Linked DNA regions of Rattus norvegicus. The protein of the gene in region 1 interacts with the protein of each later gene in a biochemical or structural test. Links are inferred from orthologs where the notes say so. Each region holds a gene or a part of one and is shown in the gene's direction. Other genes may lie near its edges.

Evidence for each region.
Region 2: the proteins of Selp (region 1) and Cd24 form a complex in vitro, tested with the Homo sapiens proteins (2 studies listed by BioGRID and IntAct). The link is inferred for Rattus norvegicus from reciprocal best matches to the Homo sapiens genes SELP and CD24.

Annotation. Positions count from the first base shown.
Region 1 is NC_086031.1:79,008,244-79,012,362, forward strand, and holds the start of Selp (P-selectin precursor), read left to right. Parts: upstream 1-1,267; 5' UTR 1,268-1,284; coding exon 1,285-1,287; intron 1,288-4,119. UniProt on the Homo sapiens protein: Ca(2+)-dependent receptor for myeloid cells that binds to carbohydrates on neutrophils and monocytes. Mediates the interaction of activated endothelial cells or platelets with leukocytes. The ligand recognized is sialyl-Lewis X.
Region 2 is NC_086038.1:48,654,877-48,659,276, forward strand, and holds the start of Cd24 (signal transducer CD24 precursor), read left to right. Parts: upstream 1-1,600; 5' UTR 1,601-1,675; coding exon 1,676-1,744; intron 1,745-4,400.

The DNA of each region.
Region 1 (4,119 bases):
CGAATTTTTCCCAGATTCTATCATCCCCAATTTCGAACCTATCCTTGAGATGTCTGTGCAGAAACTGTAACAATCCTAGAGAGAGTGAAAAAAAATAATAGCCAACACTGTTAACCAGAATTCAAAAGGATAAAGTGTGAGGTTTCTTTTCCAACTCGATACAGAACATTTAGTTTTTTTACTTTATTGCCCACCAGGAAAGTAGCCATGACTAGCGACATTTTTGGAACACCTACTGTGTGTCTGCTCTTATGTCAAGCCCTCTCCTTGTATCAGTCTCTGTAATTTCACAAAGCTCTGTGAGGTAAGACCCATCATTATCATCCTGATTAGCAATTGAGGAGGTAGTGTAGAGAATCGAATTCATTTAGTTTTTAGTTTATTAATTAATTAGCCCAATAGATGACTACAAACGGAGTAAGAACAGGTCTGAAGAAGTTTAAATGTATGGACCAAATCCTAACTACTGCACTAACAGAATGCATGGCCCCACATGCTACACTCTCCACGAGAAAAGAAATACTAGCCCTTCCCGTTTTTACGGAGGCAGGGTCTGCTTACCTAGCCATTCTTGCCTAGAACTCAGAACCCTCCTCTATCCATCGCTCGACTTCCGGGATTACAGGCAGGTGCCACCACACCTTTCTATCCTTCCTCTTTTGACGTGAGAGACAGAGTTCTCAGATCGCCCATGCCTGCTCTATATATCACTTCAAAACCATTTCCAGCAATAGTCCCCAAGTGTTAGAAACGCTCCCTGGATTTTCCCTTTTCTATCTGCTTAGGTTTTTTTTTTATTTTTACTTCTATTTTCTGCCTTGTCCCCTCAGAAGTCTACTGGAATCTTAAAACATTCTTTGGCATCTCCATTAACTGGAATTTACAGAGGGAACTTGTGACGAGTACAAAGCAGGTCTTCCAAACCTTACGACCTTACATTGGAACTCATATCATAATCAAAGGAAACCTGACCCCTGGGTGCATGGGTCCTGTTCCTGCCTTGCTCAGTCTGGGATGGCCAGGCATGATTCACACCTGCGCCTGTCTCCAGACAGTCTCCTGTGGAAGGGTTGACCTACTGGCCCCCTGGCAGCCGCTCCTTGGAAACTGCCAACTCTGCTCTGCAGTATCAACAGTCTAACATCAGGGGAAAGGCCGTGATAAATTTCTGGAAAGCGAATAGGAAGTTGTTTTGCAAGGCAGCCTGACACCAAGGGGAGGCAGCAAAAGTATAAGAAGTGTGGCTTGGCCAGAGGGAAGAAAGCCAGACGGGTCGGAGAGGACATGGTAAGTTTGTTTTTCTCTGTATCGGAATTAGAGGAGTCGAAGTGGTTTGTGGCTGAAGCAGACAGAAGAAAGGTTCAGAAAGTAAGGACCAGCATTAGCCCTGGGGCTTTGTGTTGAATGGCCTAGGTAGAATTTGCAGGCATTTTCCCCTCTCTTTTTGAAATGGGGTCTCGTTACCTTGACTCATTAAATGTACTATCCTCCTGCCTCAGCTTCCCAGGTAGCCAAGGCTTGTAGGTGCACAGCATCATGGTTAGTTTGTAAGCATTTTTAAAAGCCGGCTGATCATTTTGATTCTTCCAAAGTTCTTAGAAGTTTGAATAACTTCCATTTGACAAATAGAACCATTGTGGCTTACAGAGGGCAGGCATTTAACCACACTCTTTAAACTTGATGATGTTGCTATCATTCTCTGTCTACACCGCGGCTGCTTTTCCACTGGAACTTGCAGGAACTCCTTGGAGCAGATCTTGGCAAGGATGTCACCTCTTCGCTAAGTCTGCCTTTCTCTCTGGGATGAATGGAAGGCTGAGAAAGGGCCTTGGGGCATATCTACCACGGAACAGCTTCTAACTCTCATCCTTCCTAACCCATTCTCTAAATACTGGTAGTTTTCTAGGACCAATCCAGACTATCCACATGGTTCTGATCTAAATGTCTATCTTTCGTGTTACTAACCCAGTTTCCCCATATGCAAATGGGATGTAATGATAATATTCTTATACACCACCATAGTAAAGATTAAATAAGGTTGCACTGAAGAGCATTTATATCTGAGGCTGGTGTGTAAGTGATTAGCAAATTCTAACTACTGCTTTAAGAAAGAGAAAACTCCAGAGGTATAGTGAGGTCAGGGATTGAGGGGAGATCCTAAGATAACCAGGTATTTTGAACTCGGGACAGTGACTTTGGATAAAACATGCATAGTTGGGGTACTATCATGTGTATTTTTAATGTACTAGGAGTGTCTCACATAGTCTCAGAATCTGAAATCTTCTAGTCTGTACTTAAGGAGGTAGCAGAAGGGTATTGATTTTTAGACACCTTTATACAGCACTGCAAAAGAAAGCCATGCTTACCTCATGATTCTATCACTCCTCTCCCTCTCACCTCACTGCAACACACCCTTGCAGTACTTAAAGGGAAGAGATCACCCCTCACCAGTGTGCCAGTGTGTGTGTGTGTGTGTGTGTGTGTGTGTGTGTGTGTGTGTGTGTGTGTCTGGTTAGTAAAATAGAGACCCAGGATGACATTTGAGCCTGCACTCTTTCAATCACTATGGCAAAAAAAATAGGATTCCTTGTGTTTTTTAGCATGTCATTCTTCTGAATTGGTTGACATAAGCAAACGAGCCATCAATCTCTTCCTTCTATTCTTTTTGGCATCCTTTTCTAGTTCAAAGACATGGTGGCATAGATGGTGGCATTGTTCAGGATTCTGATGAAAGCTGCAGTTCCTGACCTAGATGAAAATATCCATATAAGCTGACCTTCATAGACAACTGTGCAAAGGTTCCTGGACTTGTGTGGCTTCCAGGAGACCCTTAAGATTTCCCTCCTGTGTGTTATACTCAGGAGTTCCTCGGCTCTATCTGGAACGTAGTCTAGGCTCTGCCGTGAAGTGTTAAGGACCCAGCCCAGCATTGATTGTAATAATTCAGATTCCTTCCTCCCCGAGCACATTTGTCTCTTAGGATTCAGGAAGCTCAGTCTGTCTGTGTGAAATCTGCTTCATATTTAGATAGCGGCTTCACTTCGGACCCAAGAGAATGAAGTTAAGGGGTATCATGTGGGACATTTTCAGCCAGCTCACAGGGAACGGCCCCTGCTTAGGGATTTACAGTTACATTATCCTGATTTCTGTCAAGGCTTTTGCAGGCCAAGGAACAGCTCAGGATCATGTCATGTAAACAGTTAACTACTTTAGGCTCCGCCTTCCAGTTTCTACAGTTCCTTCTACTTTATCGGCTCCATGTTGTTCTAGGCTGGCAATCAGCTCTTAGAATATGCATCTTTAAAGTTCTGAACAGAAATGATTACTAGTCACATCACCAAAAGCAAAAAACAAACAAAACACACACACACACACACACACACACACACACACACACACACACACACACGTGACTTTTGGCATAGGAGGCAGTACTGAGCAAAGCCCACGGGGAGGCTGGTTTTTATGATGACAGCCACTACCTTGTCTAATGTCTCTGCTGGAAAAGCAAGTCAGATGCTTTACAATGTCGAATGCAAAGAAAACACAGGGATGCAACTCAGCTAAGATCTTGTAGTGTTTTAAAAACTGTGTTTTATTTTAATGTTACTATTTCGTTTAACATAATGTCATGACTGGTCTAACTTAAGTGCTTAGATTCTGAGTGGTCGGATCATGGGACGCATCTTGTATTTATTTGAAATCTGCTCGACTTAGAGACAAGCCGTTTTCTGTGTGTTATTTGATGGGGGAGGGTGGGTGACTGCTAGGATCTTGGCCCTCTACCATTACCATCCAGGAACTCTGGGGCGCTAGGATCGGAACTGTTACAATGTTGCAATGCCTTGTGACATATGCCTTGGTCCTATGGCCTGACGTTGTTCTTATCTTCCTTCCCTTCTCCATTCCCATTGACTCCAGCACATCAATTCTTCTTTAACTTCCTTCAGGGACACAGTTAACAAGAGTTGCTTTTTGTAGCCTAGGGTTCTTGTCTCCACTCAACAACACTGCTAGATACATCTTTTCACTGGTCTGCTCTATTCAGGGCCCTGAAGGTGGCTCCCCTGTTGCTGACTGGCATTTGATACAAGACCTGGCCTCAAGCTACTTTTTCAA
Region 2 (4,400 bases), on another chromosome or scaffold:
CTCCAGAGGCTGTATTGTTGGCTACCTCACCAGCACATTTCCTTAAGCTAATACCAAGAGAAGGGGCGGGAGACGAAGTAAGAGGAAGGAGGGGGAAGAATGGAGAACTGAGGAGAGGGGCAGAAAAACAATCGGAGGGCAAAACCTGGAGCAACAGCAGGAGAAGTCCCCTAGTCTGTCCCGGAGAAGCTCTGAAGACCCGGGCGGGCGCTTGGGATTAGGCGCCACCCTCGGTGAGGAGCCGGGAGCTGGGCACAGAATGACCTTTCTATACAGTGTGGTAACTGTTAGACAGGAAAGTTCACTGGCGCTATACAGAAATTCCTGTGTGTCCAAGCACATCTCACACGTGGAAAGTTACTGAGCGGCTGTGGCTGACCCGGTAAGGCTCAGGCCAACGCAGCCACAAACCGACGACTACGGAGTCCATTGTCAGCCTGCACCCATAAAACTCTGCTTTTACGAGGCTGTTCTGCAAAAAATTGAAATTTAAACAAATTTCCACCGTTGCTAGGTTTGTTTTGTTTGGCTTTTTACGGGCCGCAAAACACGTGGGCTACCACTTTAAATAGGAAGGTCCAGAACCCTGTGATTAAAATTTAAAAATATTCCACCACTAAATAATTTTCAAATTTGCTTTTGAGTTCTCACAAAGGAAGAGGGTCGAAAGAAAGATTCCATTAAAACGTACAGACCGATGACTGCTCTTTTTGCATCGGTTCGTCAAAATGACTTACACGGCAGCTATGGAGGAAAATGGCTTGAGCAAGTACTGGGCAGAACAAGCGCGTCCCCAGAAACGTGGAGATTATTTGGACCGAAACTCAGTCCCTCTCAGTGTCCCGCCCCGTGGCCGTGCGCAGTTGGCTGTTCCCTAGGTCCGGGTGGATGCTGCGGGGGGTTTGCCCGGGTGCGCTCTGCTGAATGCAGCACTAGACCAGCTCAAAACACAAAGCAAGCAGCCGAGCGAGGGGCGGCCGCCCAGCCGAGCATACTCACGGCTGGGGTCCGGGATCCCTGCGATCCCTGCGATCCCTGCGATCCCTGCGGTGCAGCCGCCAAGGGACAGCGCGAGGCGGCGCCGGGTCTGCTCGCCAACCCCACGCGCCACGGCCCAGGGACCTGCCAAGCCTGCCCAGTTCCCCCCTGCAGCGGGCACTTGAGAAAACCCAGCCCCGAGCTCCGCGCAGTCTGCGCGGCGCCCGCGGCTTCGACTTTTCCTGTTGGGGGGTAAGATGGCAGGGCCGGGGAAACAAAGGAAACTTAGGCCGGGCGGCGTGTGTGGTTCGTGTGCTCGCCCCGGGTCCCGTGTGGGAGTCGCCAGCGCCTGTGCACGCTGCCCGCCCCGGGAAACCCTAGCTGGGTCACAGCCCCGGGCGTCCGCCCACCTGCCGCGCTGGCCGCCTCGGGACATCCCAAGTCACCCGGGCGGGCTCCGAGCAGGCGGCGGGGGAGGGGGCGAGAGCGGCGCAGGGGGGTGGGGAGCGGGGAGGCGGCAGGGTAGGAGGAGAGCAGGGGTGGGCGGGCGCCGCACGTCACGGCTATTGTGGCTGTCCCGGTATATAAGGTCCCGCCGGCCGGCCGCGCTCCCCACCTTGCCTGCGTCCGCGCCAGCCGAGCACATCTCCACGCACCGAGCATCCAGAGAGTCGCGCCGCGCGCCGACGGAGCGGACATGGGCAGAGCGATGGTGGTCAGGCTAGGGCTGGGGTTGCTGCTTCTGGCACTGCTCCTACCCACGCAGGTGAGACCCTGCTCTCGGTGTGGCGTGGGGCCGCGTCCTGGGGGCGTGTGTGTGTGTGTGTGTGTGTGTGTGTGTGTGTGTGTGTGTGTGTGTGTAGCAGGGGTGAAGTCCCTACCTCCGGCCACGCACAGGGGTAGGGAGAGAATTTTATGTGACTTGGGGAACTCGTGGAGTGGACTCCCTAGAGAGAGCCCCCCCTCCCCTCCCACGGAGGGTCTTCGAGCTCCCTGCGAACCACACAAAGAGAGGGGACGGTCCCCTTCGGGGGAGCGTGGCACACGCCCATTCTCCACCGTCCAAACTGGTTTGGAGATCGCCCAGGAATCCCTGGTTGTGGCTCTGTCTTCCACCGGGGGTTCTCAGTCCTGAAGCTAGGGACCTCCCGACGCCACAAACTCCCGCGGTGCGACCCCACACCTCCATCCCTGGCCACCTTAGGGGCCCCATCTCAGCCCAGACCCAATGGCACTGTAGAGACGGAGGGCAGGACTCCAGTGTCCCGATTCTCCGCCAGGCTTTGTCCTAGTCCACAGCCGTTTCCTCTCTTAGATTTGTCCCGGGTACAGATCTCACCCCCCAACACCATGGGTGGCGCTGCTCTAGCTGCCTTAGCGAAAGGGTGAAGGAGCCGCGCCCAGAATGAGACCTGAGCCTGGGAGACCAGGGCGGGACTCGGAGAAGCAGACCGTGGCTTTCCACAGCCTTCGGTTCGCTCAGGGATGTCCCTCGGGCTTCGCCCCTGAAAAGTTGGGCGCGCCAGATTTTCGGACCCTAGAGATCCAGGCTCCGGGCTCACCTGGGAGAGCAGCCCAAGAGCTTGGAGCGCGCTTCGTCTTCCCCATCTCAGGCAGGGTAACTGTACCCCATTGTCTTCTCTGTGGGTTGGCTGTGCCCCGGGGCCTTTCTCAGTCCTCCCGAACCCCCATCTAGGAGGGGCTCAGCATCCCGAAACTGGTTGGTCTCACCCGGATTCCCTTCTCAGCTCCCTTCCCCATAGAAATGTTGAGAGGGAGGTGTTGGTTAAGCAAATCAAGGGAGCTTGGTGGAGAACTGTTAAGTGCCAATTTAATAATTAACATGTAAAAATTGGTTGTTGGTGTTGGAGAGGACCTCTAGACACAGATTGAGCATTGGGCTCCGTTACTATTATTATTATTATTATTATTATTATTATTATTATTATTATTTAGGGTTTTTTTTTTGTCACCTGCAGTAGTAAAAGATCTTTGTAAAAATAAAGAACGGTTACTTTCGGGTACCCATAGGACAGGCTCCGTGTTTTAAACAACTTAGCATATTAAGGTTTTCCTTTTTTTTTTTTTTTTTTTGTGGGAATGCCACTTCCTGATCGGACAGGGTCTTATCTTGACACACAGTAGGCCCCCAGTAAGTCTAAGTGTCTGGATCAGGATTTTGGTGTGCGCAAATCTACTTTGGATACGATTTGCACATTTCTTTAGTCAATATTTGCTTAATGGCCTTACGGCTGGAGAACAAAAGGAGCTAATGCAGACACAGGCGGGCTTATCTTGGGATCCAGGGGCGGCCGAAAGTACCTGTGGCTAGATTCTTTACTTGGTGCCACGTCGCCCTCCCTCTTGCTTGTAATCGGAAGCTCTAGCAAGCCCTGGCAAACCCTCCTTTCAGTGAGGGCTGAAAACTCGGATCAGCCTTTGTTCCGTGACAAAGGAGAGTATCACGTGCCTCGCCGGACTGTGCTTTTCAAGGCTTGCAAAACCAGCGGCGAATATGCCACTAGGTTGCTGGGACACAAGAGGAAGCCTCGGTTCTCGGCCACAGAGTCTAGCCAGTCACCAGGCAATGAGCTGGTGAAATTTAATACCAAACCCTGTCTTACGTGCGGGGTGGGGGTGGGGATGTTTTAACCGAAATCCTACTGCCGTAGAGCCAGTATTTTTTGAAATTCAGATTAAATTAATTAATTAATTAATTAAATTAATTCTTGTTATTCTTAGCCTCCGAGCCTGTGCTTACTAGCAAATGTTCTGCCACTGAGTGGCATCCCTAGGTGGGCAGTTCCCACTTTTTCAATTTAAGACAAATTTTTTTTGGTTTTGGTAAGGGTTATAATTTCAAGATTTCAAAGGAGCAGATATATGCTTTTAAGTTTAAATGTTAAGATATTTCCTTAAGGCAATGTTTCCCGGGCTGTTCGAAGCCAGAGACTCAGCACAACCAGGATGGGCTGTGATCCCACAAACTCACAGATCTCATTCACCTGACAAAAGTGTGTGCAGACACACATTCCCTACGACCCCCACCCTCCACCACATACAAGGTTTTGATTGTTTTTGAGATAAGCCCCACTTATCCAACTATGTAGTGCTGACTGGGTTGGTGTTTTGTTTTTTTGTTTGTTTGTTTGTTTGTTTTTTGTTTTGGTTTTTGGGTTTTTTTGGTAGACCAGAACTTAGAGAGACCTGCCTGCCTCTGCCTCCTCCTGAAGTGTCAGGATTTACATGTGCCACAATTCTTGACCACATGTAAATCTTTCTTTCTTTCTTTCTTTCTTCCTTTCTTTCTTTCTTTCTTTCTTTCTTTCAGAATCAAATCTCATTATAGATGGTTGTGAGCCACCATGTGGTTGCTGGGATTTGAACTCAGAACCTCTGGAAAAACAGTCAGTGCTCTTAAC